Linked DNA regions of Drosophila melanogaster. The protein of the gene in region 3 purifies or fractionates together with the protein of the main gene of each other region. This does not show direct contact. Each region holds a gene or a part of one and is shown on either strand. Other genes may lie near its edges.

Region 1 (5,982 bases), on a different chromosome or scaffold from region 3:
ACACAAGGATGCAATGCAGTTGCGCACAGTGGCACTGTGGGTTAAACAATATCAAAAAACAAAAAATAGTTTATAAAATTTATTTAAAAAATAGCTAAAAAATAACTGCACTTATATGTATAATTTTTAATGAGTTGGTAGTAAAAAAAAGTCTTGAACTATGAATCAGGTCCTTTATAAGATAATATTTGAATATTTTGAGGCATTCTTCTTGCACTCAAAACCATAATCCCAAAATGTATAGAACATTTTTGAAACTTTTCCTTACTTTCATTGCAGACTTTTGAATTATGCTCCACATTTCGAGCTCGTCACACGGTGCACAAGAAAAGTTTCTTTTGGCAAAGATTAACAGAACCCAGAAGCAACCGAAAAAGGGTTTGAGATTGGGATTTAGGGGGAATGTGCGTGTTTCTGGCGGCGCATGTTTGGCAATGCGGTAAACCAAATTATGTGCTTAGCAAGTTGCCGCTGCGACCAGAGTCAGTGGAACCAGCCAACCAGCCAACCAACCAGGCAACCAGCCAGCTACCTCAACCACCCGATCCTTTGTGTACTGGATGCAGCTGCATTTGCACAGAGCAACCAGCGCACAGCACAGCCCCTGCTCCCTCCTTTTGAGTCTTTGTGGCACAGCTCCTTGCACTTGGCCGCTTTTCCTGTTGGCTCTGGTGGCAAAGAGGTTTGCACAGGTGTTTCCAACAGCAACTTTGCCAGCATGATTAAAAAGTTTTGCCACGGCTCAGCAATAGAAATCCGAGACTTCGGTTACCACAATGTCAATGCCTGACAAGGGATATGTCATTTCTTATTGTTTGTTGCTAGCTAGGAGCAAAGGGATAGCAACACAATACTAGTACTTGCCAAATCTACAACCTGATTTTATTACTTGCATGTTTAAAAATCTCAATCCCATGACAAATGATCATATAGCCACAAAGATACATAGGTAAATTCTTATAGAATATTCAAGTATCACTGCGGATTCAAATGGTGCTCCAGTTAACCCGCCTGTTACCATAACAAACAACGACTGAGATTGTGTGTCATAAGCGTGTTTACATAGCGTACAAAAAAAAAGGAAATTCAAAATGCATTTTCAGGCCTCGAACATGAGAGTGAGGGATGTGATAATGAGGAGCTAGCCTCTGGCGAAGCGAAACATCTGGGAGTACAAGATCAAGTTAATGTACAAAACGGTGGACATGGCGATGATCATGGCCAAACGGTATCATTTCTTCTTGGCATCCTTGAGGCCAGCGCCGGCGTTGAACTTAAAGAATATGATGTCGCCATCCTCGACGGTGTAGTTGCGTCCCTGTTGGCGATATTTGCCAGCGGCCTTGGCATTCGCCTCACTGCCCTCCGCCTTGAAGTCCTCGAAGTGCATCACCTCGGCCATAATGAAGCCCTTCTCGAAGTCGGTGTGAATGCGTCCGGCAGCCTGGGGAGCCTTGGTGCCCTTCTGGATGGTCCAGGCCTTCACTTCATCCGGCCCGGCGGTGAAGAAGTACTCCAGCTGCAGTCCCTTGTAGCCGGTCACAACGATCTTCTCCAGCATACTTTTGCACTTGGTCTCCGTCTCGTAGGCCTTGCGCTCCAGTTCGTCCTTTTCGGTCAGCTGGTGCTCGAAGGCGCCGGAGAAGGGAATGAGCAGTGCTCCGGGATCGTTCTTGTCGATCCATTCCTTGATCTTCGGCAGCCACTTGTTCTTCTTGCGGATGAAGTCCTTGTCCGAAAGGTTCACCAGGTAGATGACCGGTTTGGAGGTCAGGAACAGATACTTGTTCAAGGCCTCAATCTGAAAGAGCAAAGTAGTGGTGGCGTCAATAAGAACGGGAGGGAAAATCACAAGGTCACACGAAAAAAAACCACAGATTTCGCTGTTTTGTTGGCAAACAAATAAAGACGATAATAACAACAATGAATGAAACACGAATACAAATGCATTCTTAATAAACAAATTTACAATACAATATTTTATGGATATCCCCTTGTTTTTAAGTAGAAAGGAATAACAATAAGCGTTAGTGCCACCCAGCGGATGTGGATTGTTTTCGTACTTACATCATGGGCATTCCAGTCCTCGAAGCGCAGATGACGCTTCTGATCGATAAGGATATCCTTAATCTTAAGCATCGAATCGTATTCGGGCTTGAGCTTCTTGTCGCCGCCGCGGGCCACCACCTTCTCCAGTTTGTCCAAGTTCTTGAGCAGATTCTCCTCGTCCTTGAGGCGCAGCTCCTCGGAGATGATCTCCAGATCGCGCACCGGATCCACCTCGCCCTCCACGTGGGTCACATCCGGATCCTCGAAGGCGCGGCACAAGTGGAAAATGGCATCGCAGGCGCTGATGTGCGAGAGGAAGTCGTTGCCAAGTCCCTGACCCTCGGCGGCTCCCTTCACCAAGCCAGCAATGTCCACGACGTTCAAATAGGCAGGAACCACACTAGTTTTTTTTTTTTAAATACTTATTACTTTCGATTGTGCAGAACTTTTCTATTAAACTTAACAAGCAAATGGCAAGCAAATAACGAAAATAGCAAGTCCCGAAACTTGTTACGCGTTTTAAATGCGTTTCGTGATGCAGGTATATGTTTTTTTTTGTTACAAGCAATGGAAAACTAAAATGCAATGGATTTGTATGCTCCAACTCACCTGGCCGGCTTGTGGTACTCCACCAGGTAATCGAAACGCTCATCGGGCACCGGAACACGACGTGTGGGTAAGGCAAAAGCCATCGGCGGCAGCATCAGCAGGAGCAGATGAAAAGAAGAGGTAAGACGCATGTTAGTCGGGATGACTTGGCTGGACGCAGAAATGCAGAAATCCAAAAATACAAGAATATGAAAAAACAAAAACGATTGACTGACTGACTGGCTTGGTAGCCCGGCAGCATCGGCGGCCAATCATGGCAATTTTCTATAATTTTGCGCCATCCGCAAAGGGGCAGCGAAACCAAAATGAAGTCGCTCACAAATAAAAAGCGCAGGAAAATGAAACCGAAACGAACCGAAGGCGGGGGCAATTTGCATATTGGGAACTGGATCTGATAAAATTGCTAAGGCCGCGACACGCCCACAACGCGAAGGACAGTGAAGCATGGTTAGCTCAACTTTTAAAGGTGCCTTAAATGAATACAAATATGGTTTCTTAACTAATTTATAGAGTTAAGTGTGCGAAACTATCTGTTACTTCTGTAGTCCAAAAGGAATGGAAACATGAGAACACTCTGTATGAGATACATAGTAAGGATAATCTATAAGATCAAATGCTTATAGCTTGAAGTTTGCTAAAATTGAAGTTTTCGTGCTTTAACATTTGGAATTATCTACAATTGAAGACTATTTCTATGATAAAATGGTTAATAACCAGAAGGTATACTAGCCATAGCATAGTGTTTAGATCTAAGTTCCTGACACATTGAATCCCCCACTTAGCTGCGAATCTCAGAGATTTGTGTTACCTATCGAGGCTGCACTGTGGCTATTTTAGAAGGTCCAGTCGAGAGAGCAATTTGGAATTAGAAGCGGCGGCGGTTGCTCCTGGAGGCCATTGCTGCATCGCCGGCATAAAAATTATATTCCACGAGATGATTACAATGATCGAGGAAATTGCCACCGCCCGCAGGTTCGCCTGGTAATTGGCCAGATATATGTATGTAAAGATATATATATATATAAATATATATATATGTGTGTGTTGGGGAATACTTATTCTCATTCGGCTTGATGGTGCAGAAGGGGAAGTTCTCCGCGGGGGCGGCACTTTGGGTCAGAACGTTGAAAAAAGTGGACTTGCCCACGTTGGGAACGCCAACGATACCGATTCTCAGATTCGTTCCAATTCTGCCGATCAGCGGCTTGCGCTCCGGTTCGTCGTGCTTCTTGGGCGGCATCTTCGTTGATCTGCGGTGATATGGCAAGTCGTTAGTTACATATATCCGATTAATCAGGTATGTAAATACATATATGTATATGCATTTAGATGTCAACTATTTTTATATGCTGCCGGACATAACCTCACATTGCCGGCTGCTAGCTCACCTAGCTCACTAAACGCGTGGATGCTGTCCACTGAACTCAGCTCCAGCTGTGGATGGGAGTTAAGGTTAGTTATTGCCAAATGAACTTAAGCCCCTGTTATTTACAAATATTTACGAAAATTTAAGCGTCCGCTGTTTTTTGCGGCTGACGGCGTGGAAGGAAAGAGAGCGAGCGAGATGGGTATAGGCCGGTCAGCTGTTGACGCGCAGGGTTGCATGCCGACTAGCGCCCCCGGGCGGTTGAAATGGGCGTCGTAGCTTAGCACCGCAGGCGGTAGGGGGCGCCAGCGGGCAGGGCGCGTAATTTGAATTTAGCTCGAGGGCTATGTTATTATCGCACTGGAATTTCAGCATTTTTCAACAGGTTTGACGTCTTCTTACATTATAATTGTTGTGCGGGCATAAGTTTACTTGTGCTTTACTGGTTTGCTCAAAACGAATTGGTTAATAAGGTTATCCTATTTAAAACCTTTATATAATTATATTGCTTCCTAATTAACTCTATCAAATTAAGTGCCACAATATACGAAATATATTGCTGTTATAATATTGTACCCTATTTTATTGAGAACTATGCAATAACTGCCAAGGCTTGAAAGCAATGCGATCAATTTGATGGTTTAATTTTGTCTAGATATACAGGTCGTGTTCCTTCTTCCCAACGCCTTTAGTTTTGACCAGGTTTTCAGGTAAATGCGATCGAGTTAACTGTCAAGGTCGTCGGGCCGACGCACGTACACGCAATTTGGCGGTTTAGTGAAAAGCCCGCAATAATCAATAATTTCGCATAATTAGCGAACCGATCGGCGGATCGATTCCCTGCCTTTATGGCCAACTGAAACGCAATCCGCACGATGGGTAGAAAAACGAAAAGTCGTCAGGAGGAGAGACCAAGGGTGGTTGAGAATCAGGTTTGTTGATCTTTCGCGACTGTTTGGCAATCGATTTGGATCGTTGGTCGATGCGCTTTGATTGATTCCCTGGCCCGCGTTTATGGCCCTAATTAAAAGATCCGTTATGCGTGATCGGTCTACCTTTCAGTATTCGAATATCATGTGCGTGCTAGAAAACTTACTTATAATTTCACGCTGTCTTGCCTCCTCGACCAGTTTCTTTACTCAAGGCATCTCTTTGCGGTTGTCCGACCGTTTAAAAATCCATTTGCAACTGACCCTGGACAACTGTTTTTCGTTTTTTGTTTTCATTCTTTTTTTTTCCACTGGAGCATGTAATACCTTTGTAATGTTTGTCCACAAAACCGCAGGAGGTCCACGCCTGCTGACGATTGAAAGTTTTTCGATCGATTTGTGGTTGTGTATGCTCTTATAAACAACCTGCATTCTGATCCTTTACAAAAGTCGAATACTATCTTATTGGTTTTGTATGTTTATTGAAATATCAATGAAGCAACGATTTTAACAAAAATCAGCATTTAAGATTACTTACTTTCCTATATTAGATTACAAATAAACACAAGTGCATCAAGAATGAAATCTCGACCACATATAAAGAAAAAATATTTAACAATACGCAGCAAAGTTCCATTTTCACACATTTCCCAGAAATGTTTCATTATTAAATATATACAACTTTCGACACAATTCCAAGGACTCTGCGCTACGCCCAAAAGTTATTCAATTTCCAGCATGATTATTTAACGCTAAGCCGGCTTATTTTGCATATTATTTGTTGTTTGGGTTAATTAAGCTGACTTTTAATTGCCTTTTATTGCACTTAATTATTGGAGTCGGGTAGAAAATGGTGCCCGCATACGGTCGCTGGCAAAAGAACGCGAATGGGGCACGTAGCTGGGGCCTCATAAATTTGTATACATATGACTGACTAATTGCGGTTCCCGCGGAATTAGCCCAACGAGCCACCACGCATCTCGATTTCCACTCCCATTCGCACCCACATTACGCGCGGGGCGTGGCCAC
Region 2 (4,090 bases), about 13 Mb from region 3:
GGGTGCGGGGGGTGAGGTAGGGAGAGGCGCGGCAGGGCTCAGCTGATTGTGATTGGGATTTTCGGGCATGCCACATGCAGCGGCGGCAACAGCAGCAACAACAATAACAGCCTCCCACTCTCGCGCTCTCTCACTCGCTCGCTCTCTTTGCTGCAAATCGAATTTTTTGTTGTTTATTTAGGTGACGCTCGCACACATTGGCAAACATTTCAATCCGTGTGTGCTGCACACTTGTTTTTCCTTCTTTAGCCCCGATTCCACGGCAATTTGTGCACTTCGCTGCCGTTCGTTTGTTTTATCCCAATCTTAATCTTTATTTTTATCCCAGACTGGCGGCTGGCTGGCTTTCTCCGCACCGCACAAGCACACACACTCGATACAATCGCACACACCTTGATGCGCTCCTTTGGCGAGCCACTCATTTGATTTAAAGGCCTTTTCCGATTGGCACGCGCGTCCGCCACCCGCACACACGCGAAAAACACGACCGTTTCGCTCGAAGTCTCGAAATCGAAAAAGTGGAAAAGCCTACAAAAAGTCTGTGGCATTTCGGTTGGCAGAGAGCGCATTGTGCGCTAAGAGAGCGACTAAGAGAGGTCCGCATGCGGTGTTTGCGGATATTTTCACATTCCGGCTACGGCCACACTGCTGCAGCAGGGGTTGATGAACAAATAACCGGCGGTTGTTGCACACGCTAAGTTGATCGAAATGCAAAACTTAATAGGCTATTCACACTGATTTCATTTGAATTTATGTTTGATTTCGTTACTATTATATCAACAAGATATTCTGTAACAATAGAAATAATAGTATAGTCTATATAGTATAGTATATATATATAGTATAATAGTCTTTCATCTAATTTATTTTTTAGCCAGTTGTTTAGTTTTAGTTTTTTTTTTAAAAATGTAGCTACCATACAAGTTCGCCTCAAGACAATGTTTTTAATTTAAGACTAAAGACCGTATAGATTGATCTTTTGCACAGACGATTGTTCATACACATTACACTTATGACGCTAGAAAAAGAACGTTTGAGAAATTATAATATCTTCGGTTCGCTATGCTGCTGCTTTGTACGTCGAGTGAATTAGACATCTGTGTCTGAGAAAGGAACGAATTGAAAAACATACACAGGGTCGAGCGCCGCGACTCTATTCCCAACTTAAAGCTAAAGCTGTCATACAATGTCCTTACCACGTGGTGCTAGTAGTCGGGATCATGGTTCCAGCTTGATGGTCGTTTGCTTTATTAACGCCAGCACTGCCTCCTGCCGCTCCATATACGCCAGAAAGTTATGTTTCATGTCCAGGAACTGCTTCTCCTTGCGCACGAGCGACTGCAGACAGGCGTCGTTCTGCTGCTCGAGCAAACTGTTCTCCTTGCGCAGCGCCTCCACTATTGCCATTGTGATCTTGCCCGAGTGCGGCAGTATACTACGTCGCCCTCGTCTCCTTTTGCTCGCCGAACGTTCGGCGTCCGTCTGGCCACCGTTGGTGTGGCCTCCATATGGCGCATCCTCTGCCTCGGGCAGGATGTGGTTGGCAGGCGTGAGAGGCGACCGCTGAATGACACTTTCGGCAGTAGCTCTCTCCAGGTAGTGGCTAGCCGCGTTTTCCAGCTGCGTCACTGTGGGCTTGTATTCAATATTCACCAGCTGGTGGTGTTCGTCTGGCAGAGGCTCTGTCTTCACTACTGCGGGAACTAGGGGCTGGGCATCGAGGAAGGTGCATCCCTCTGAGTCGCGCTCAAATTTTAGCTGGGCGGGCGAAGTGTATAGCAGTGGCGGCAGGGCGGGCAAATCCACACGTGCTGTCGCACGGATCGTCTCCAGCACATTGCGGAAATGGAAGAGGGCGGACGACGGCCAGGCAGGACAGAAGAGGCAATCGATCAGCGCGTAGAGACGCCAATCCTTCGCGAAGTTCGCATTGCCCCCCACGCGATTGCGATCGTTCCTGCAGAGAAGTGGAAGGAGATATTAGCACTGTGAACTGACCCGAGCCGCTGCTGCGCCTCACAAATACTTGTTGCGGTAGCTGTTGATGCGCCGGCGAGCCTCCTGCTTATTGAGCCGAACTCCGTTCTGCTGCAGGCCGTGCGCGATTTCCCGGAAAATGGGCAGGTTGTCCGTGTAGGAGGGTATGGCATGCAGGTGCTCGCGCCACAGCCGCAGTAGCATGGCCTCCTCCAGCGACGTGTAGTAGCGCAATCGCAGGTGCTTCTGGCCGCTCATATTCCGGTCTAATTTCAATTTTGTGGAATCGTTATAATCCAAACATTTTCGTACGTGACCAAGGACCAGGCGTGGAAATACCAATAACGCTTGAGCGCGGCAGGCGCCAAAAAATACCATCAATGATTTAAATTTTCTTATAGAGCTATTGAAATCTGGAAAAGATATATCTAATATCTTAATAATTTTATTTCTTAATATTGGACTAGCCCCAAAGCCATTCTCCCAGCTGTAGTATATACATGATACTGATATGGTACTAAATGAAATTTATTATATTACTTATTTCAGGAAATTCGCTCAGGAATCTAGGCATTTTCGGCGTTCTCGCGCCGCAAGGTCACACTCTTCTGTGTATCAGAGCTGTTGTTGATTTTTTGTGCGGAAAAACTGCACTTGGCTTCAACCATTCTACCACAGCGTCGCATTGTGTAACTAGAGTGGAGATCGCATATCCAAAGGCAACGTTACAGGGATACATCTGCGGGAGCAGATCAGGAGCCGGTGCAGAGCAGTCGATGGACTACGAGAAGCTGGCGTTGAACGCGGGCGGAAGCGGCAGCGGTGCCGAGCAGGACTTAGGCATGTGCGGTGGTCAGGAGCTGCTCGATGGCAGGGGCAAGGAGAAGGCGCGTCGCTACTGGACGCCCAGCGAGGAGGAGCGCCTGTACGAGATCTGGGGACGCGACAACTGGCGCCTGACGCGCACCGGCAAGAACACCATCTTCTTTGGCCGGTGGGCCGAGGAACTGCGCGACCGGTTCGCCGTGGACGTGAAGCCCGAGGAGATCCAGATGAAGGTCAACCAGACCAGGGCCAAGTTCAGGTAGGTAACCGTTTAGACACTTTGCTATACCGGATTAACTGACTGGTTTCCCTTTTAAGGCAAGTCAAAAAACAGCTGCAGGCGGATCCTTCGAGCTATGCTACGCGCTGGAAGAAGTACGACATTATCAATCGCATCCTGAAGAACCTGCACAGGCCCAAGAACGCCGATCCGCTGCCGCCAGAGGCGCTGCTCAACAACCGCGACATGACACCGCCCCGGGATGATGCGTCCGCAGAGCAGTTGCAGCAGCAGCCACAGCAGCAATCCGTTCAGCAGCAGCAGCAGCAAGGCTTGGGACTGGCCAGTGAGCCAAGCACTGCCACCTATTACAATAGCAGCAGCAATAGCAATCACGGCAGCAGCCACAACAACAACACCAGCGGCGGAGTTAGCTTCAACACGGAGCTGTTTACGGACCAGTATGACGAGGTGGTCAAGCAGGAGTACGAGGACGATGAGTACCGCTCCATTCCCTTTCAGGAGCAGTTGCAACAGTATTCCCCAGCCGAGCCGGCTCAGCTGCTCGAGCTGCAGACGCCACAGCAGCAGCAACAACTGCAGCAGCAGCAGCAACAACAGCAGCAGTTCCAAACAAACTATGAGTCGCAATTTCAGCAGCAGCCGGCTCAATTCAATAACAACAGCGTTATTAGCACTGCGGCCACATCGACCGTCAACCATCAGCCCATAACGGCGGTAGCCTATATCAATAGCAGCAATAACACCATCAGCGTGGCCACAAACGCAAACGGAGGCATGCCAGCGCCGGTGCCCGCACAGGTATCGGCATCGGTTCCGGCTGCAGCTCCAGTTTCGACCACCAACAACGCCGTCGTTGGCGCCTCCCCCGTCCCTGTGCCACGGAAGCGCGGTCGTCCATTCGGATCTGTGAATCCCCCACACGCAGACTCGCTGGAGGCGCTCTACATGGAGGAAGTTCGGCGAAAGAACCAGCTGCTCTACGAACAAACCAAGATATGTCGGCAGCGACTGGAGCTGGAGGAACGCAAGGTCGACCTCATGCAG
Region 3 (5,136 bases):
GCTTTAGACCAGAGTTGAAGCTGCTCATTTCCAGTGCCACTCTGGATGCGGAAAAGTTCTCCGCGTTCTTCGATGATGCACCCATCTTTCGGATACCTGGTCGCCGCTATCCAGTGGACATATTCTACACCAAGGCTCCGGAAGCGGACTACATCGACGCGTGTTGCGTTTCAGTTTTGCAGATTCATGCCACTCAACCTTTGGGCGACATTCTAGTCTTCCTCACGGGTCAGGATGAGATCGAGACTTGCCAGGAGGTTCTGCATGATCGCGTAAAGCGGCTGGGCTCCAAAATACGTGAGCTGATCGTTATACCCGTCTATGCGAATCTACCGAGTGATATGCAGGCCAAAATCTTCGAACCCACACCGCCGAATGCCCGAAAAGTTATCCTGGCCACAAATATCGCAGAGACTTCGCTAACCATCGACAACATCATTTATGTAATTGATCCTGGGTTTGCCAAGCAGAACAATTTTAATTCCCGCACTGGCATGGAGTCGCTTATGGTGGTGCCCATTTCCAAGGCCTCCGCCAATCAGCGAGCGGGCAGAGCGGGACGAACTGCTCCGGGAAAGTGCTTCCGTCTGTATACGGCGTGGGCATACAAGCATGAACTGGAGGACAATACCGTTCCGGAGATACAGCGTATTAATCTGGGCAATGCGGTGCTCATGCTAAAGGCTCTGGGCATCAATGATCTGATACACTTCGACTTTCTGGACCCTCCGCCGCACGAGACACTGGTATTGGCTTTGGAGCAGCTATATGCCCTGGGTGCACTTAATCACCATGGAGAGTTAACCAAGCTGGGTCGACGGATGGCCGAGTTTCCCGTGGATCCCATGATGGGCAAGATGCTGCTGGCAAGCGAAAAGTATGTAATCGATCTAACAAACCAGAAGTGAAATAATTCGTATAATATTCGTATATTTTTGTTTTAGATACAAATGCTCCGAGGAGATGGTGACCATTGCAGCCATGCTGTCCGTGAATAGCGCCATTTTCTACAGGCCCAAGGACAAAATCATTCACGCGGACACAGCCCGAAAAAACTTCAATCACATGCACGGCGACCACTTGAGCCTCCTGCAGGTCTACAATCAGTGGGCGGAGACGGACTACAGCACCCAGTGGTGCTACGAGAACTTCATCCAGTACAGATCGATGAAGCGGGCTCGCGACGTGCGGGAGCAGCTGGTGGGACTGATGCAGCGTGTCGAGATCGACATGGTCAGCTGCCTGCCAGAAACAGTAAACGTGCGCAAGGCAGCCACCGCTGGTTACTTTTACCATGTGGCGCGACTCTCGAAGGGCGGTCACTACAAGACCATCAAGCACAATCAGACCGTGATGATACATCCGAACTCCTCGCTCTTTGAGGAGCTGCCGCGCTGGGTGCTCTATCACGAGCTGGTGTTCACCTCCAAGGAGTACATGCGTCAGGTTATAGAGATCGAGAGCAAGTGGTTGCTGGAGGTGGCTCCGCACTACTACAAGGCCAAGGAGCTGGAGGATTCGACGAACAAGAAGATGCCAAAAGTCGCCGGGCGAGCCGAAATGGCGCAATAATTTTGAGGGGGTTTTTAGTTTTCAATTAATAATAAACTTTTATTGTAAATTTCACCATTTGTAGTTTGATATTGTAAACTGGCTTTGTTTATTATTATTCTTTTTAAATTTCGATAATCGATAATCTTAGGAAACAATCGAATACGATTCTTATTAGTACGTTTCGATATATGGCGGCCCCACCGACAGTTGTATTATCGATAACAGGCCGTGTGGTTGTATTTCGTGTTTTGCATTTCAAAGAGCAAAATTGCACAATAATTTAATTTAAGTGCAACCAAAAACCTTTAACAAGTGAGTCTATGAGCGAGCCGAGCTAACTGCGTTTGAAGACCAGGAAGAACAGGGGATAAAAACACGCAAACAGCACATTGTCATTAAACCATGACGTTCTAACCTAAAAACTGATGAAATTTCCAAGTCCAGTCGGCTTTCATTTACATATATAGTTTATAGAACAGTAACTAAATACATTACGTTTGTTTTATTCAAAGGATAATGGCTGCTCAGTTCTTTAATCGCATTGGCCAAATGGGCCTCGGAGTGGCCGTTTTGGGTGGCGTTGTCAATTCGGCATTATATAATGTGGAAGGCGGCCACCGGGCGGTCATCTTCGATCGCTTCACCGGCATCAAGGAGAACGTGGTCGGCGAGGGTACCCACTTCTTCATCCCATGGGTGCAGCGGCCCATCATCTTCGACATCCGGTCCCAGCCCCGCAACGTTCCTGTGATAACGGGCAGCAAGGATCTGCAGAATGTCAACATCACGCTCCGAATCCTGTACCGCCCCATTCCAGACCAGCTGCCCAAGATCTACACCATTCTCGGCCAGGACTACGACGAGCGTGTCCTGCCCTCCATCGCGCCTGAGGTGCTGAAGGCTGTGGTCGCCCAGTTCGACGCCGGCGAGCTGATCACCCAGCGTGAGGTGAGTAAAAACATCAGGAGAGCCCTCAGTTTCTTTAGGATAAAGCTTTTTTGATGGGCCTTGTGTTTCACCAGAGGCGCTTATGTTTACTTAGTATCAGGTCATCAGATCTCATCGTATTTCACGCGTATTTTATTTTCGATTTAAATTTGATTGTGTAAGCAAGAACGCGATCTCGGCGCTTAAGTCTAGGCTTATTGCTCTTTTGAGAATTGAAGCTTAAGAATTGGATTATTATTCAACTTATGCAGTCGGAAATATAATACTTTCATGCCCGTACTTAACGTGATTACCTCTTTGCAGATGGTGTCGCAGCGCGTTTCCCAGGAACTGACTGTACGTGCCAAGCAGTTCGGCTTTATTCTGGATGACATCTCGCTCACGCACTTGACCTTCGGTCGGGAGTTCACGCTGGCCGTCGAGATGAAGCAGGTGGCCCAGCAGGAGGCGGAGAAGGCGCGTTTTGTCGTGGAGAAGGCCGAGCAACAGAAGCTGGCGTCCATCATTTCGGCGGAGGGTGATGCCGAAGCCGCTGGCCTGTTGGCCAAGTCATTCGGCGAGGCCGGAGACGGTCTGGTGGAGCTGCGACGTATTGAGGCCGCCGAGGATATCGCCTACCAGCTATCCCGGTCCCGTGGTGTCGCCTACTTGCCCAGCGGACAGAGCACGCTGCTCAATCTGCCATCGACCATCGCGCAGTAGCTGGGTGCATCTAGTTCCGTTAAGTTGTAACTACCTATAGCATTTACTAAGTACTTTTCGATTTTGTTTCTGCTGAAATATGCACTACTCTAAAGCGTTCGCGCCCGACTGACTGGAGAATACTAAGCGAAACAACCAAAATTTGTCTCATGTAATCGGTTTTTCCATTATCTTCCCGATCGGGTTCGAAATCCGGTCGCAGTGTGCGCTCCGAATGCGGCTCAACTTTTGTTGTTTCCGTTTGAGTCGTTCGTGTGCGCGTCCTGCTGAATTGGTCCTTAAGATCGGCACCGGGCTTAAAACAACTCCAGTAATTGAAAGAAACACAGACCGTAAGAAAATTTCATTATGTGAACAAACAATAAATGATAATCCCTACATGAGTGGGCTTTTAAATTGAGTGTGGTTATGGTTATGCAGGAAATGTTATTTAATTTATGAACTTTTACTTTCTTTTTACTTTACTTTTACTTTCCCAATTAATTACAGATCGATCCTAAAACGAATCTAATCACTTGCCCATATCATATAGATTTAGACAAAATACGTGACCTATTGAAGCTCAGCGATGTGATGTGTACACCAAACACCCGCTCGCTTATCTCGGCCCTTGTTTACCCCATATGATGCCTGTTTATGCAATCCCCCTCTCAAAGGCGCCATTCGACCCCTATAAGCGGAGAATACTTTCGCATTCATTCGCAACTCAAGATGGTCATAAATCAAATTGTAGTATTCTTCGCCTCAATCGACCCGAACTCCAGCCACCCGTAAAGCAGCATAATGTGGGTGGGTAGTTGGGCGACTGGTGGCTGGTGGCTGTTGGCTGGCGTGTGGGTGGAGCACCCAGCGCATTAAAATCGAAAGCAGAGCCGTTGGCATGGCGTATAAATCTGTTGATTCAGCCAAGTGATTTGCCAAAGTGGCTTCGTTGAAATGTCAGGCACACGCACTTTGCTCGCACTCAGCAACAGTTGGACCACCCGCAGGATTCTCAGCAGCCCTACACTGAAAGAAATTATTTTCTTTTGTCGTAGGCTAAAAGTGTTTACTTGATTCTTTTAAATAGTAATTAAAGGAAGATAATGATTTTCCTGTCGTATTCCAATATCATTAGCCGAGCCGATATACCCATGTTTGTCTGTCCGTATAAACTTCGAGATTTTGGGAACTTTAAAAAAAAAAAACGGTCACGAAAACAGTTTTGAAAAATATTTTGAATTTTTGTATTATATCTCTCGATATATTTGGCATAAACATTTAAGCCACATATTTATTGTTTCTTGCCAATTTCTATTGATATTTCAACTGAATTTTGAAATTCCGGCCAAGTAACTGGCATCCAAAAGTCGTTAGCTTTCTATAGTAATTTTGAATTTTTCTCAGTGTATGCGGAACTGCCCGCTCAAAAGGCTCAACCTAGCCCACTTCCCCTAGCACAATGCGAAAGTGAGTGAGAGCATTGGATTATTTGACGTCACAATTCCATGAGCGGTTCAAAAAGCACGTCATATGTGGTGCTCTAATAACCGGTTTCCAAGATGCGCGTAAAGCGTGCCATTCCACGGCTTAATCAATTTCTTGTCTTTCCTACGAATATAACTTTGTTTACATTTTTTTGCGTGATTTTTTCTTCGGGGAGTCCAAGAAAAACCCTGTTTCGAGTGACTCATAATTGGGGGATTCCTGACGAGATCGCTCTCTTTCCACAAATTCGAGTTGGGAAGCACGTGAGTAGAATTCAAAATGTTTTGCTTGCTGTTTTAAATATCACTAGGTTCTCAAACTAATTTCAAAAATAATCAAATTAAGTTCACAGAGCTGGCAAATAAAATGTAATAGCTTGCATGTATGTATATATATATATTTTTTTAAATTCTAAATAAATCCATGGAAAATAAAGCCTTTGATATCCAGTTACTGATTCAGCGC

The links. Proteins that work in one complex are often made in the same cells at the same time.
Region 1: the proteins of Phb1 (region 3) and CG1354 purify together in Drosophila melanogaster (affinity purification with mass spectrometry, with the first as the bait; one large-scale study listed by BioGRID). This does not show direct contact.
Region 2: the proteins of Phb1 (region 3) and CG14005 purify together in Drosophila melanogaster (affinity purification with mass spectrometry, with the first as the bait; one large-scale study listed by BioGRID). This does not show direct contact.

Annotation. Positions count from the first base shown.
Region 1 is NC_004354.4:9,776,978-9,782,959, reverse strand, and holds CG1354 (uncharacterized protein), read right to left. Parts: upstream 4,219-5,982; 5' UTR 4,151-4,218; intron 4,093-4,150; 5' UTR 4,047-4,092; exon of another isoform or gene 4,027-4,046; intron 4,003-4,026; exon of another isoform or gene 3,909-4,002; 5' UTR 3,899-3,908; coding exon 3,718-3,898; intron 2,774-3,717; exon of another isoform or gene 2,754-2,773; coding exon of another isoform or gene 2,720-2,753; coding exon 2,659-2,719; intron 2,450-2,658; coding exon 2,068-2,449; intron 1,802-2,067; coding exon 1,232-1,801; coding exon of another isoform or gene 1,142-1,231; 3' UTR 866-1,141; downstream 1-865.
Region 2 is NT_033779.5:5,799,652-5,803,741, forward strand, and holds CG14005 (uncharacterized protein), read right to left. Parts: upstream 2,325-4,090; 5' UTR 2,236-2,324; coding exon 2,021-2,235; intron 1,958-2,020; coding exon 1,219-1,957; 3' UTR 866-1,218; downstream 1-865. Other genes in the region: CG7239 (uncharacterized protein), read left to right, coding at 2,754-3,061, 3,121-4,090.
Region 3 is NT_033779.5:19,120,487-19,125,622, reverse strand, and holds Phb1 (prohibitin 1), read left to right. Parts: upstream 1-1,753; 5' UTR 1,754-1,866; intron 1,867-1,969; exon of another isoform or gene 1,970-2,066; 5' UTR 2,067-2,070; coding exon 2,071-2,502; intron 2,503-2,805; coding exon 2,806-3,204; 3' UTR 3,205-4,278; downstream 4,279-5,136. Other genes in the region: l(2)37Cb (lethal (2) 37Cb), read left to right, coding at 1-877, 945-1,572. UniProt on the Drosophila melanogaster protein: Required for larval metabolism or for the progression of the larva into a pupa.